Lepisosteus oculatus: one gene and its partners. The protein of the gene in region 1 interacts with the protein of each later gene in a pairwise test. Links are inferred from orthologs where the notes say so. Each region holds a gene or a part of one and is shown in the gene's direction. Other genes may lie near its edges.

Region 1 (3,751 bases):
CCGAGTGTCCGGTGCATCGTCCAGGACACAGTTACCCTGCTGTCCCTGTCCTCCCCACCGCCTGGGCCGGCTTTTCCCCTTCTTCCGCTGTACCTTCTGCCATTCCCCGCTGCCGCCCGCCATCCCTCTGGGAAAGCTGGGATCCTAGGAGACCAGGATACAATGTCAGCACCGCCGGGCTCCGCGCAGCGGTTGCGATCACGGCTCTGTGACCTTGCCGAGAGGGAAGACTAGGGTCGGACCTGCGCTGGCTTTTGTCCAACTTAAGCGCTCCGTTAATTGACGTAATTTCACGTTTTCCGTGTTGCACTACTCTGAAAATATTGTCAAGATCCTCCACAGCGCATTAACGTAACGGAGACGGTATAGATGTACATAACCCTAACCGTGAGCTCAGAACAGTCCCCGGTACCGTCTGTGTGGAGCGCTGACTCAAAAAGTCCCTCCTCGCTCCGAACAGAACAAACCTTACGAAGAGCCGTACGCTCTTTTTCACTCTTCTATCAAGAATAAATGCAACGTGTCAAAAACAGTAGTAAAATGCAGCCACCACCCTCCCAGTGCTCACTCTGATCTTAGCGTCACTCAGCTACCAGAGAACCTCAGAGCTGTCAGATGAAACCGGTCCTCCCGGCTGAACACAGAGCCCACTGGACTGATCCCACCCCCTCAACCAAACACACACCACCTTGCACTTCTGACTGCGCGTACGGCCTTACAAAGACCCTGGCGGAAACTATGACGCGTGACAAAAGTTCCGACTGTGAGGGGTCCGGTAGGAGTCAGATCATACGAACAGAAGGAAACAAGAAGTCACAAGGCTTGCATATATCACCATGCACATTATTTATTTAAAACATTCCACTCTGATTATTTGGTATATGCACAGATTCGGCGACTATTTTTCTAGACAATTTTAGTCTACGTTTCTAGGGGACGGGTGTAGACTGTGCACTCTCAGGAAGTGGAGGGAAGTCGCTCTGTTTACGCTTCTCGGGTTAAGGCGAGATTTAGTTTTCGAGCGAAGTCCGGCAATTTCCCCACGAAAATACTCGGCAGGGAAGCAGGTTGGTGTTTGCTGAGTGTTTAATCGTCATCCATCGAGGTAAAGGAGTCCAGTTTTCTGTCTCCTAATCGGGAAACGCCTTACTTGCCGGCTGGTTAATTTATTTTGAAAATGAGCTGTGACGTGCCGGATGCGCTGGGCGCCCCTGGTCGGGACCGCACTCTGGTGTTGGACGTTGGGCCACAGAACGGAACCCGACCGAGCAGAACCTGAAAAACTACACGATTTTTTTTTGCCCGATCTGGATTCTCGGTGCCTGTTAAATCCCAGAATATCTGACAGGATATCCTTTAACGATCTCCTATCACGGTGAAGATATCTTTCTATAAGCAGCAAAAATACATTCACGGTCCTGCCTTCCCTTGCAGACCGCAGTGTGCCAGTCCGAGCGCCGCCCAGAGGATGTCTCTGTCCCACCTGTACGGGAGGGGGGGCGAGGAGGAGGAGGAGGGTGTGGAGGTCGAGCGCTTCGAGGTGACGGATTGGGACTTAGAGAACGAGTTCAACCCCGACCGGCGCCGGCACCGCCAGACCAAAGAGGAGGCGACATACGGCGTGTGGGCCGAGCGCGACTCCGATGACGAGCGACCCAGCTTTGGTGGGAAGAGGTGCGCCGTGCCCCTGTCTGCCAGTTTGCTTGAATCTGGGTGTCAGTGTAAGAGAGTGGAGTTTGTGAATTCAGTGCAAACCCGAGGGCTGTAGTGCATTCAGATCATAAAAAAAAATAAAAACCTTAAGTATCCTCTGTATTGTAGAGTAATAATAATTCTTACTCTTCTATAGTCCTTTTCTGGACACTACACTCAAAGCTCTTTACCTCCTCCACCACCAGCAGTGTGCAGCCTCACCTGGAGGCTGCACCAGTCTGCTCACCACACAGCAGCTCTCAGTGGGGAGGAGAGCAGCGTGATGAAGCCAGTTCAGAGAGGGGGATTATTAAAATTGCTTCAGGAAAATCTCACAGCCTTATTAAAGTGGGTATAATGTTTTATATCTGGGGCAGTTTCCTACATGGTTTGCTCTGTGTCCAGGTCCAGGGACTACACTGCACCTGTCAGCTTCGTGAGCGCGGGGCTCCGGAAGAGCGCGGCCGAGGAGAGAGAACAGGAGGGATCTGACGACTCAGAACCAGAGGCAGACCCTCCCCAGGCGCCCCCCCGGGAGTCAGCGCCCAGAAGGCTGCAGACGGTGAGAAAGGGTTGAGGTCAGGGGCTGGGGGGGAAGAACCTCCCGTTTCTTCTGTAAATCCTGCTTGACGGCTCGCTGCAGTGTCCTCTCTTCACAATATGGCCTTCAGTTCAGTTGCTTGTGCTCCGGTGGCTGGAGTTTTCTTTTCTCTGTCCCTTACTCATTCTTCGCACCTGCTGCAGGTACAGCTATGCATACAGAGTGGGCTGTTGCCACCGGGGTAATACAGCACACTGATGTGGTTCTGTTTCCCCTGTGTGTCTGCCTTCTCTCTGTTTGCACACCAGGGGGGGAACTTTAAGAGCTCCCAGAGGGCATTTGGCAGTGGCACTCGTGGTGGGCAGGACCTGGGCACCTGGGAGAAACACACCCGTGGAATTGGGCAGAAACTGCTGCAGAAGATGGGCTACGTGCCAGGCAAAGGGCTGGGCAAGAATGCACAGGGTAATGATGAGAGATCTGTGGGATCTGTGTGCTTGTTTCAGTGTCCTGACAGTGTGACTGTGTGCCCATTGTTGTCTGTCATTACTGAGTTTTTTTTGCCAGTGCTGCTCCTCAGTGCCAGATGCTATGTCTTTGCCCAGGTATTGTGAACCCCATTGAGGCTAAGGTGCGCAAGGGCAAGGGGGCAGTGGGAGCTTATGGCACAGAGAGGACCCAGCAGTCCCTGCAGGACTTCCCCATCGTGGATTCTGAGGAAGAGGAGGAAAAGGTGAGTGGGGCTCCGGATCTGGCCTGTTAATGTGCACCCAACAGTCTCTGGTTGTGTGCCTCGGGATTACCTCTGTGAAGCTTTTACTCCTTTCTGGTAAAAGGCAGCCAGCGCTCAGGTCCTTTTTTAAAGGTGTTTGCTGCACTTTTAGTTCTGCTGAATCACATTCATACAAATGTACAAAGCCACAGCACATTTATTCATTTTTTTCATTCATGTGTTGTGTCTTGCTGGTTTGCATCTTTACATTTGTGCAGCAGCTTTAACTGAGGTGTGGAATAAATTCCCGTTGCTGTCTGCCCTTCTGAGTCACGTGTGAAACTCCAGTCTCACGTTCGCCCGAGAGCCGCTGCCTCTCACTTCTCCCCCGCTGGCCAGGCAGGGAGCCCAGCTGCCCGTTCAGAATCTCCTCTCTTCCCGCAGGACTTCCAGCGGGAGCTGGGCCAGTGGCGCAGAGACCCAGGGGCTGGGAAGAAGAAGCCCAAATACTCGTACCGAACGGTGGACGAGCTGAAGGCCCGGGGGCAGGCGGTGGGCAAGAGCATGACTGCGCCCCCTGCGGAGCTGGCCCAGGTCAAGGTGTGCAGGGAGATATAGACACTGCGTTTAATCTAGTGTTTCGATTGCATGTTTTATCACACCAGATACAAGAGCAGTATTCTTTGCTAGTGTTCTGGAATTATCACCATTATGCTGAGTTATGTAGTCATAGTAATCTAGTCTAGTTTTGAGGTAAGTTATAGCATAGGTCTATGACAAATTGTCTAAAATAAATTAAAGTATTC
Region 2 (3,751 bases), on another chromosome or scaffold:
GAGACGCTCGTTAACTCGCTGCACCGGTGCACTGAAGGAGTCGGATAGTTTCAGCTTCACCGTCCGTTTCTTTTCGAGAATCAAATCTGGAGCCTATTTTGCGTATAAATAAGGTTTAAATCCAAACGTTTCTTTGACCAACATCGCAGACGTGGACAACCGAAACTAACATAAAAGGCAAATGCTGACAAGATTAAAAAATCCGAGACGAGACAATTTCTTACGTGTCAGCTGCATTCTTGTCCTACAGTAAAAGCTTCCAGTCCCGGTGACCCACACACACACCTGTTGGTTTTGTCCCAGCCGAGTCCTCAGTTATACAGTCAAACCCTCCATTGACTTAGTAGTAAAAAGATTAATTTGAACTGCCTGTTCCCCAGCTCTTAAGCATGTTGGAACTTGAACCGTGTAATTTCGTAAATGAAATAAAATGCAAATATTCAATTGAGGCAACTTCTGAGATCAAGTAAGACTTCGGTTCTCTGATGAAGGTGGGCTGGGATCCGCTGGTCTACAGTGATCAAACGACACCTTATTCCGTCCCGCCCCCACATACAGAAACAGGTGCCCGATCGCGTTTGGATTTCTTTTGTATCTAAACTTTATTATTACCACTTGAAGAGCAACACTGCTTTACTGTGTATTCCAGTGGTCCCAAGCATAATTGTCCTTAGAATATATTAAAACATGGTAATAGGGGAAGTGACTGTGATTTTGGAACACAGAAATCCAGGTGTGAACACTTGGAACATTTGCAATTAAAAACATCAGGAGAGCTGCTACTGGCTCATATTGACACATTTAAAGACATTTTTTCAATTCAATAAGTGGGGTTGGGGGGGCACTTACCATAGGAATCTCCAACCCTGGTCATTCTGAGCCTCAAACCAGATATTATTAAAGATCACCCCTCAATCACCTGTTATGTAAGGATTAGAGACACTTGGTTAAGTAATTGATCAATTAAGCAAGTAATGGGTCAGTGAGAGGACCACTTGTCTCGCTGAATGTCTTAAATACACCAGTTCCTTCAGAAACTGATGATGTAAAGGCTGCCTCTAAAGTCTGGACTGGGGCTTTTCAGGATCAGGGTTGGAGATGTCTGACACAGATCCTGGAGATCCTTACATTTACTTAGTTCAGGTCTCCCGTCTCCTGCATCTAAAGATTTAGAACACTTTGAAGTTATTGATCAAATTGAACAAATAGTTTGTTTAATGACCTTTTCCTTCACAAGATGAGGGGTATTCACATTTTTGTTCTAAAGTATCTTTTACGATACTTAAATTACCTTACATGGCCCACTGGACTGGAAAGTCAGCAGCACCAGAGCTGGCCTCTGGCTTTTTTAGCCTGCTTGTTTTAAGGGGTTGGTCCTGCTCTTGGTATGAGCCACTTTCCTTGGTGGGTCCGAGTGAAGGGAAGCGATTGCAAGATCTGACTCAGAAGCCAGCTGATTCATCTCTGCCCTGCACACACAAGCACCACTCCTTCCCTGCACACACAGACCTCCACCCCCTCTCCACAGTGTGAGCGCAGACCAATCACAGTACACATCGCAGACCAGCACTTCCTTCCTCAAAGCCCGAGACCTGTTTCTCTTTTTCTCCCCCTAGGCAGTGCCATTTGACAGAGTCTAGCGTGACCTTGCAGGGCCAGAACGCCCAGGCTAACAGGATGCTCACCTCCGTCAATATGGCATATTCATCCTTGGTAAGAGAGCGCAACACGTGAGCATGGTGTGGAACTGAAAACATTAACAGGAATACACTGGCACGGCAGTGCGGGTAAGCAGCCCAGTTTTATGTTATATTTCAGCTCCTGATGCAAACAGAACAGGGAGGTTCAGTGCTCACCAGCCAAGTGTATTGTAGGAGGTCAGAGTTCAGAGGTCAGAGGCCAGGGGTAAAACCCAGTTCGTCACAATTTATGCTGGTTTCAGACCCGCGCTTGTCCACAGAGGTGCTATACTACAAAGCCATGTAGAGCATCACTTCCTCATTTTACAGACTCGCCAAACTGTCAGCTGGGATACAAACAGAGAGAGAACCTTTGAGAGAGGAAGCCCAGTGTTTTGGCTAGACTGTGGATCAAGTGAAAGAAAAAGTAAAATAATGTTATTATCCCATAAAGGAGGAATTTTCAGTTAAGTACACCAACAGCATTGTTAATAGCAACGACTTCGAAAGGACGGGTACCCCCTAGAATACATTTGAGTTTATCTAGTTTCTCTGGGGAAACTGATTAATTATTCTTCAAACACAAAGCTTTCATTGTGGTTGTGTAGTTTGGATTCGTATGGGTTTTCATTTCCATTTGACCTTGACTGCAGTGGAGAGCTCAGCTCTGCCTGCAGAACTGCAGCTGTAGCTGGTTGATCTCTAGCCCAGTTGCACTCACTTATCCACAGGCTACAGCCTGGGCTCTTGCTGCGCTTCCCAGAGATATCCGCGCAACACGAATTTCTAAATTCTCTACATCACTCCTTTAAGAAAATGAAAGCACAGATTGATTTTAAAAGACCTCCGGATCTTTCCCCAAGTGCAGTTTGCATTTCTAAGTTGTTGTTTCCAATGGAGACCTCTAAAGACAAAGCAGTGCCTCAGAGAAATATTTCTAAAATTTTGTGCTCTCTCCCCTGTCCCATTCATGACACTGTTCTTCTTCTTTTATTCAGAAATCACTTACAGGATAATCACAGACTAATGGTTAGGAAACAACCCAATTAATCATATCGGAAACGTGCAGATTAATTTAATTGTCGACTGTGCTTCAAAGCTAGGCTTTTATGCATGTCCATATCAAGATTATTTGTAGTATATGAAATGCCCGTATTCTCCATCATAACATTCCAGTTAGAGAACGAGCAAAATTCAGATAAAATATGAAAGCATCACAACTCCTAGATGGCTATAAAATCAGAATGGTAACAAATTAAAAACCCTTCAGCTCATCACACCCGTTTTGGCTGCAAGATCTCATCCATCTGTTTCTCAAGGGTTCACAGGGAATCGGCTTCAATCCAGCATCTTGGTGGCTTGTTCCAGGCACCCATCCCCTGTTTGTAAAAGAGTGCTTTCAATTCTCAGTCCTCAGTGTGCTTCCTCATATCTTCCAGTTGTGCCCGCTGCTCTTTGCAATGAAAGTAAGACACTAGGACTCTGTATACAATATCTATTGACTATACTGTATGTGTCTCATGTCCTTTGCATAGAAAGTAAGACACTAGGACTCTGTTTACAATATCTATTGATTATATGTGTCTCATGTCCTTTGCAATGGAAGTAAGACACTAGGACTCTGTATACAATATCCATTGACTATACTGTATGTGTCTCATGTCCTTTGCAATGGAAGTAAGACACTAGGACTCTGTGTACTCTGTGTCCCATCACAGGGAGACCCAGACTGTTCTGCCAATGGGGGATACCTGTGATGATGGGCAGATGGGTCCCTGCCTGGACGAGGATTATGGATTGACGCAGCCGGCAGCGGAGTCTGACACCCGGACAGGGCACCGTGTCCATCATGCCCCGGCTTCACCACCAAGTCCCCAGCTGGACCCTGCAGCTCTCGGTTCGTGAAACACTTCGCCTCTTTAGAACGCAGTGCTTGAAGCCCAGGCGTGCTGCTGCAGAGCAGAGAAACCGCCGGAATACAGTGAAACACAAACTCGTTTCTAAGAGTCTTTTATTTTTGTCACTGTCTTCCGTGCTTGTGGCCGTGTGTCCGCATGTGCGCGCTGCAGGCG
Region 3 (3,751 bases), on another chromosome or scaffold:
ACAGAGTGAGCGCACCCTTCTGGCCCCACTAATACCGCTTCCAGCAGCAACCTTAGTTTTTCCCAGGAGCTCTCCCATCCAGGTACTGACCAGGTTCACACCTGCTTAGCTTTAGGGGGCTGCCAGCTGTGAGTTGCAGAGTGATATGGCTGCTGTGTAGGAATCCCTTGAAATTGTTTTTTGTTTTAATTATATTTTTATCGAATTTCTATTTTTTAAAACGTTCAAGAATAAAAATGCATTCCAATACTTTTTTAACCAAAGACGCAATTGTGACGTAAAACTAAATGATTTTTACAGTACATAATTCAGTTTAAAGTGATCTATAATAATGCAGCATATAAAGATACCATAAAGTACTACTGTATTTCCCTTATAAAGATTATGTGGATGGTCTTGGTAGCAATGTTTGGGTAACAACCGTATTGCATTTTGTGAGGCACAATCATGAAACAATGAACCTCTTTTTTTGATAAAGGGCACTCAAATTGTGGACCAAAAATATTTCCGGTTGGATGCTGTCATAAATCAGGTCGCTTCACTGTATTGTCAGATATTGTAATTCTTGTATTTTCTCACTCAAGGGATGGCTTGTTATCTTAACCCTAACGAACCACAGGTGCATTGAGATTAATGTTATTTTAATGACAATTTTAATTTTAATTTTAATTTTAATATTCAAGATAAGGAGAAAAGCTTTATGGAGAGTAGGAAATGTTTGCTCTTTTACTAAATCTGTATAATTATTAAAATGTTAAATAATCGATAAATACATTGCATTTAAGCTTTGATAAAATTATGTTATTTTATTTTTCTTTTTTTAATGAGAATATTTGCCCGAAACAGTTTTCAATGAGAAGTGCGTTTACTGGCAGGATAAACCAACGTCTGTTCTACACATATTTGTCCTTTCAAATCTGTAAAATACATTTTACCAATTAATAAAGCCACCAGCTACTAAAACATTAGACGTTTATCAACATTCGAAACTGAAAACCATACAAATGTAATAAATAATTACAAATATTATAATTGTGGTGAAATGTTCGAAAGAAGAAAGTAAAATCAGTTTCTGTGTAGTCTAATCTGCGCCAAACTTTTCAAATTAAAACTACAATTACCACAGAGCAGTGGTATTTGGCGCATGCGTTCCCTCAACACCGGGAAGTAGCGGCTAATTTGAAGGAAGTTACCTTCGGATAAACAGTCAAGTGTTGGGCTTGTGTTTTGGATTATTAGTGTCACGGATAAAATGTGACATTTCTGATTATATATTCACTAAATCAATATATGAATAGTACTGTACGTATAGTTTGTGATAATATCGACTTTGTACTCCATTGATCGTGAAGAATATGCAGACAACTATCCTGTTTCCCAAGGAGAAGCACAGCTGCTGGTGTCTTAACGAGTAAGAACGCAAGTTAAAAAAGAAATATTAAAAACGTATAATAGCACTTATTTACATAAACCAGTTTATATTATATTTATATTACCTTGAATTACAATTAATAAGAAGGGCATTCGAGGGGAGATAGCAAGAGGTAAATTATATTAAGATGAGGTGCGTGTTTATAATCTTAGTGTAAAACATTTTGTATGTAAGGCGAGTACCATCTTACGTAATTAATGTCAGTACTTCAGGTAGAACAAGATAATTTCTAGGTTTATTCGCGAACTACCTGCAAGGTTTCCTGGAGATAGATCATGTCGTGATATTTTGTACAACAACTTGGGTTATTAAGTGAGGCTTTGATTGTCAACTGTGGTATTGTAAGCAATCTTATTATTTGACATTTGCTTTTTTTAGGTAATCTTGTACAGCTCAGCATGGAGACACCAAACACAAGGAAAACAAAGCCTGTGTTCTGCACGCCAGACAGCACCTTGAATTCCACACCCCATGGCCTCAGTGTCAAACAGGTGCCAGACCTAGACAGACGTGTGCGGTTTTAAACTCTTCCTATGAGACTCTATGCTCCTTACACTGTCACACTGCCATGGCTGAGGTATTGGTAGAGCTGTTTCCACCAACTTTATTGTCCCAGAAACAGAATTGTGGCTACATGTCAATGTAGGTTTAAAGGCAAACCACTATTTACTTTAATTGGTGTCACTCCTTTGTGTAACATCCATTTCAATTATTCTAAAAGCTTACATAGATCAATACTGAGACAGAAAGGTCTCACATCTTACTGGTTATTATAGAGTGAGTCTGTATGTTGTGCCATTGTGATCCATTTAAATCCATTTTACCTCTGGATTTTCAGAGGTAGCTGTTTTAAATAGTCTGTTTAAATTACATTTGAACCAGCCCTCCTCAATCCTTTAATATATTGGTCAGTTTGTAGGTCTTCTTGTCAGAACGCACTGCTGAAAGACTCTTGAACAACTGGCTAAGTATTTATACAGTAGGTCCCACACTGTTGTTTATTTTGACACGTCTTGTAAATAATATTTATTCACTGCGTTCTTTTCCGAAACGATGTCTGCCTTTAATGTTTTTCAACAGCGCTGACTAACCGAATGCAACCTGAGGTTGTTTCTGTTCTGGTTTTAGCCGATGAGTGCTTCACTGAAAGAAAGACTGAAAAGAACAAGGCGCTCTTTTCATTCCCCATTTACGGTGGCAAAACGGCTTAAAATAGATCCACCCGAGGCAGAGGACGACTCGAAGGTGCAGGAAGTGTCTCCAAAGTCCGAACGTGACCTGGACAGTGCCGGCGGGAACACACTCAGCATTAATAAAGGGAGGCCTTGGGAGAGCCCGGAGGTGACCGATACTTCCAGACAGTGGGATGTGTGCAGAACCGGCACAGAGAGTGGAAACGAAGCAGCACAGAGCAGTTCCTCCAGAGAAAGAGCTGATCCTCCCGCACAGATAGATCTGCTTCAGCTGAGAGACAGGCTAAAGAAAGAAGTCGGAGAAAAGGAGGAAATGCTGCGGAGACTGAAGATGGTTAGAATGTACAGAACAAAGGTATCTCAAGCAATATGTCAGATATCCTCCGATGTACTGTGCTGTAAATTGAACAGTGAGCGGATGTACTTTCTCATTGTGTGAAGTCATGTAATTACATGACTGAAAACATGACATTAAAATATGCTATAAGACTATAACGTTTTGGCTGTGGAGCCTTCTTCAGGTGAGGGCACCCAAAGAAGGCGCCACAGCCGAAACATTGTGTTTCTTGTCTTTTCAGCATGGAATAAACCTTTACTTGTTCCTTTGCAGCTTACGCACGCTGACTCAGCTAACTACTATAACACTAGAGTATTATTGCATTTTAAATGAACTGTAATTGAGAATTGGAACTAAAAAAGAAAACTTCAGGACATTTTGTGATATTTATCTGTGCCGGTTCTGTAGTAATAACTATGCAAATTGCAAATAAAACTTGGAAAATATTTCCATGGTACTGGATTATGCAAATTGAGTACCATGGAAATATTGTCCGTTTTATTTCTTGCAGTGTGAATTAGCTGAAAATGTCTTTTTTTATGTTTAGAATGAAAAATCAATTTCAAGTGAGAGGAATTCAAGTTATGGTGACATGATAAATCTCTGTAGAAGCTGAGGAAAAACCTCAACAGATCTGGTGCATTTTCTACACTTCAGAAAATGGAAGTATTTACAGGCCATATTGTATTTTTCTTTCCAGAATGACCTGGATAAGCTACAGTTTCTAATCAACAAGTGGAGAGGCAGCAGCCAGGCAGTACTATATGAGCTAAAGTCAGCCTTCTGCAC

What was found. The genes of interacting proteins can lie anywhere in the genome.
Region 2: the proteins of tfip11 (region 1) and snx20 interact in binary tests that used the Homo sapiens proteins (3 or more experiments, as listed by UniProt). The two-hybrid records come from large-scale screens. The link is inferred for Lepisosteus oculatus from reciprocal best matches to the Homo sapiens genes TFIP11 and SNX20.
Region 3: the proteins of tfip11 (region 1) and sfr1 interact in binary tests that used the Homo sapiens proteins (3 or more experiments, as listed by UniProt). The two-hybrid records come from large-scale screens. The link is inferred for Lepisosteus oculatus from reciprocal best matches to the Homo sapiens genes TFIP11 and SFR1.

The regions. Positions count from the first base shown.
Region 1 is NC_090717.1:14,668,405-14,672,155, forward strand, and holds the start of tfip11 (tuftelin-interacting protein 11), read left to right. Parts: upstream 1-951; 5' UTR 952-1,105; intron 1,106-1,434; 5' UTR 1,435-1,468; coding exon 1,469-1,674; intron 1,675-2,097; coding exon 2,098-2,254; intron 2,255-2,541; coding exon 2,542-2,698; intron 2,699-2,838; coding exon 2,839-2,966; intron 2,967-3,389; coding exon 3,390-3,545; intron 3,546-3,751. Other genes in the region: srrd (SRR1-like protein), read right to left, coding at 1-123. UniProt on the Homo sapiens protein: Involved in pre-mRNA splicing, specifically in spliceosome disassembly during late-stage splicing events. Intron turnover seems to proceed through reactions in two lariat-intron associated complexes termed Intron Large (IL) and Intron Small (IS).
Region 2 is NC_090715.1:2,169,467-2,173,217, reverse strand, and holds the start of snx20 (sorting nexin-20), read left to right. Parts: upstream 1-1,342; 5' UTR 1,343-1,787; intron 1,788-3,397; 5' UTR 3,398-3,419; coding exon 3,420-3,576; intron 3,577-3,748; coding exon 3,749-3,751.
Region 3 is NC_090699.1:36,350,073-36,353,823, reverse strand, and holds the start of sfr1 (swi5-dependent recombination DNA repair protein 1 homolog), read left to right. Parts: upstream 1-1,179; 5' UTR 1,180-1,411; intron 1,412-1,810; 5' UTR 1,811-1,830; coding exon 1,831-1,923; intron 1,924-1,930; exon of another isoform or gene 1,931-2,000; coding exon of another isoform or gene 2,001-2,009; intron 2,010-2,560; coding exon 2,561-2,980; intron 2,981-3,662; coding exon 3,663-3,751. UniProt on the Homo sapiens protein: Component of the SWI5-SFR1 complex, a complex required for double-strand break repair via homologous recombination. Acts as a transcriptional modulator for ESR1.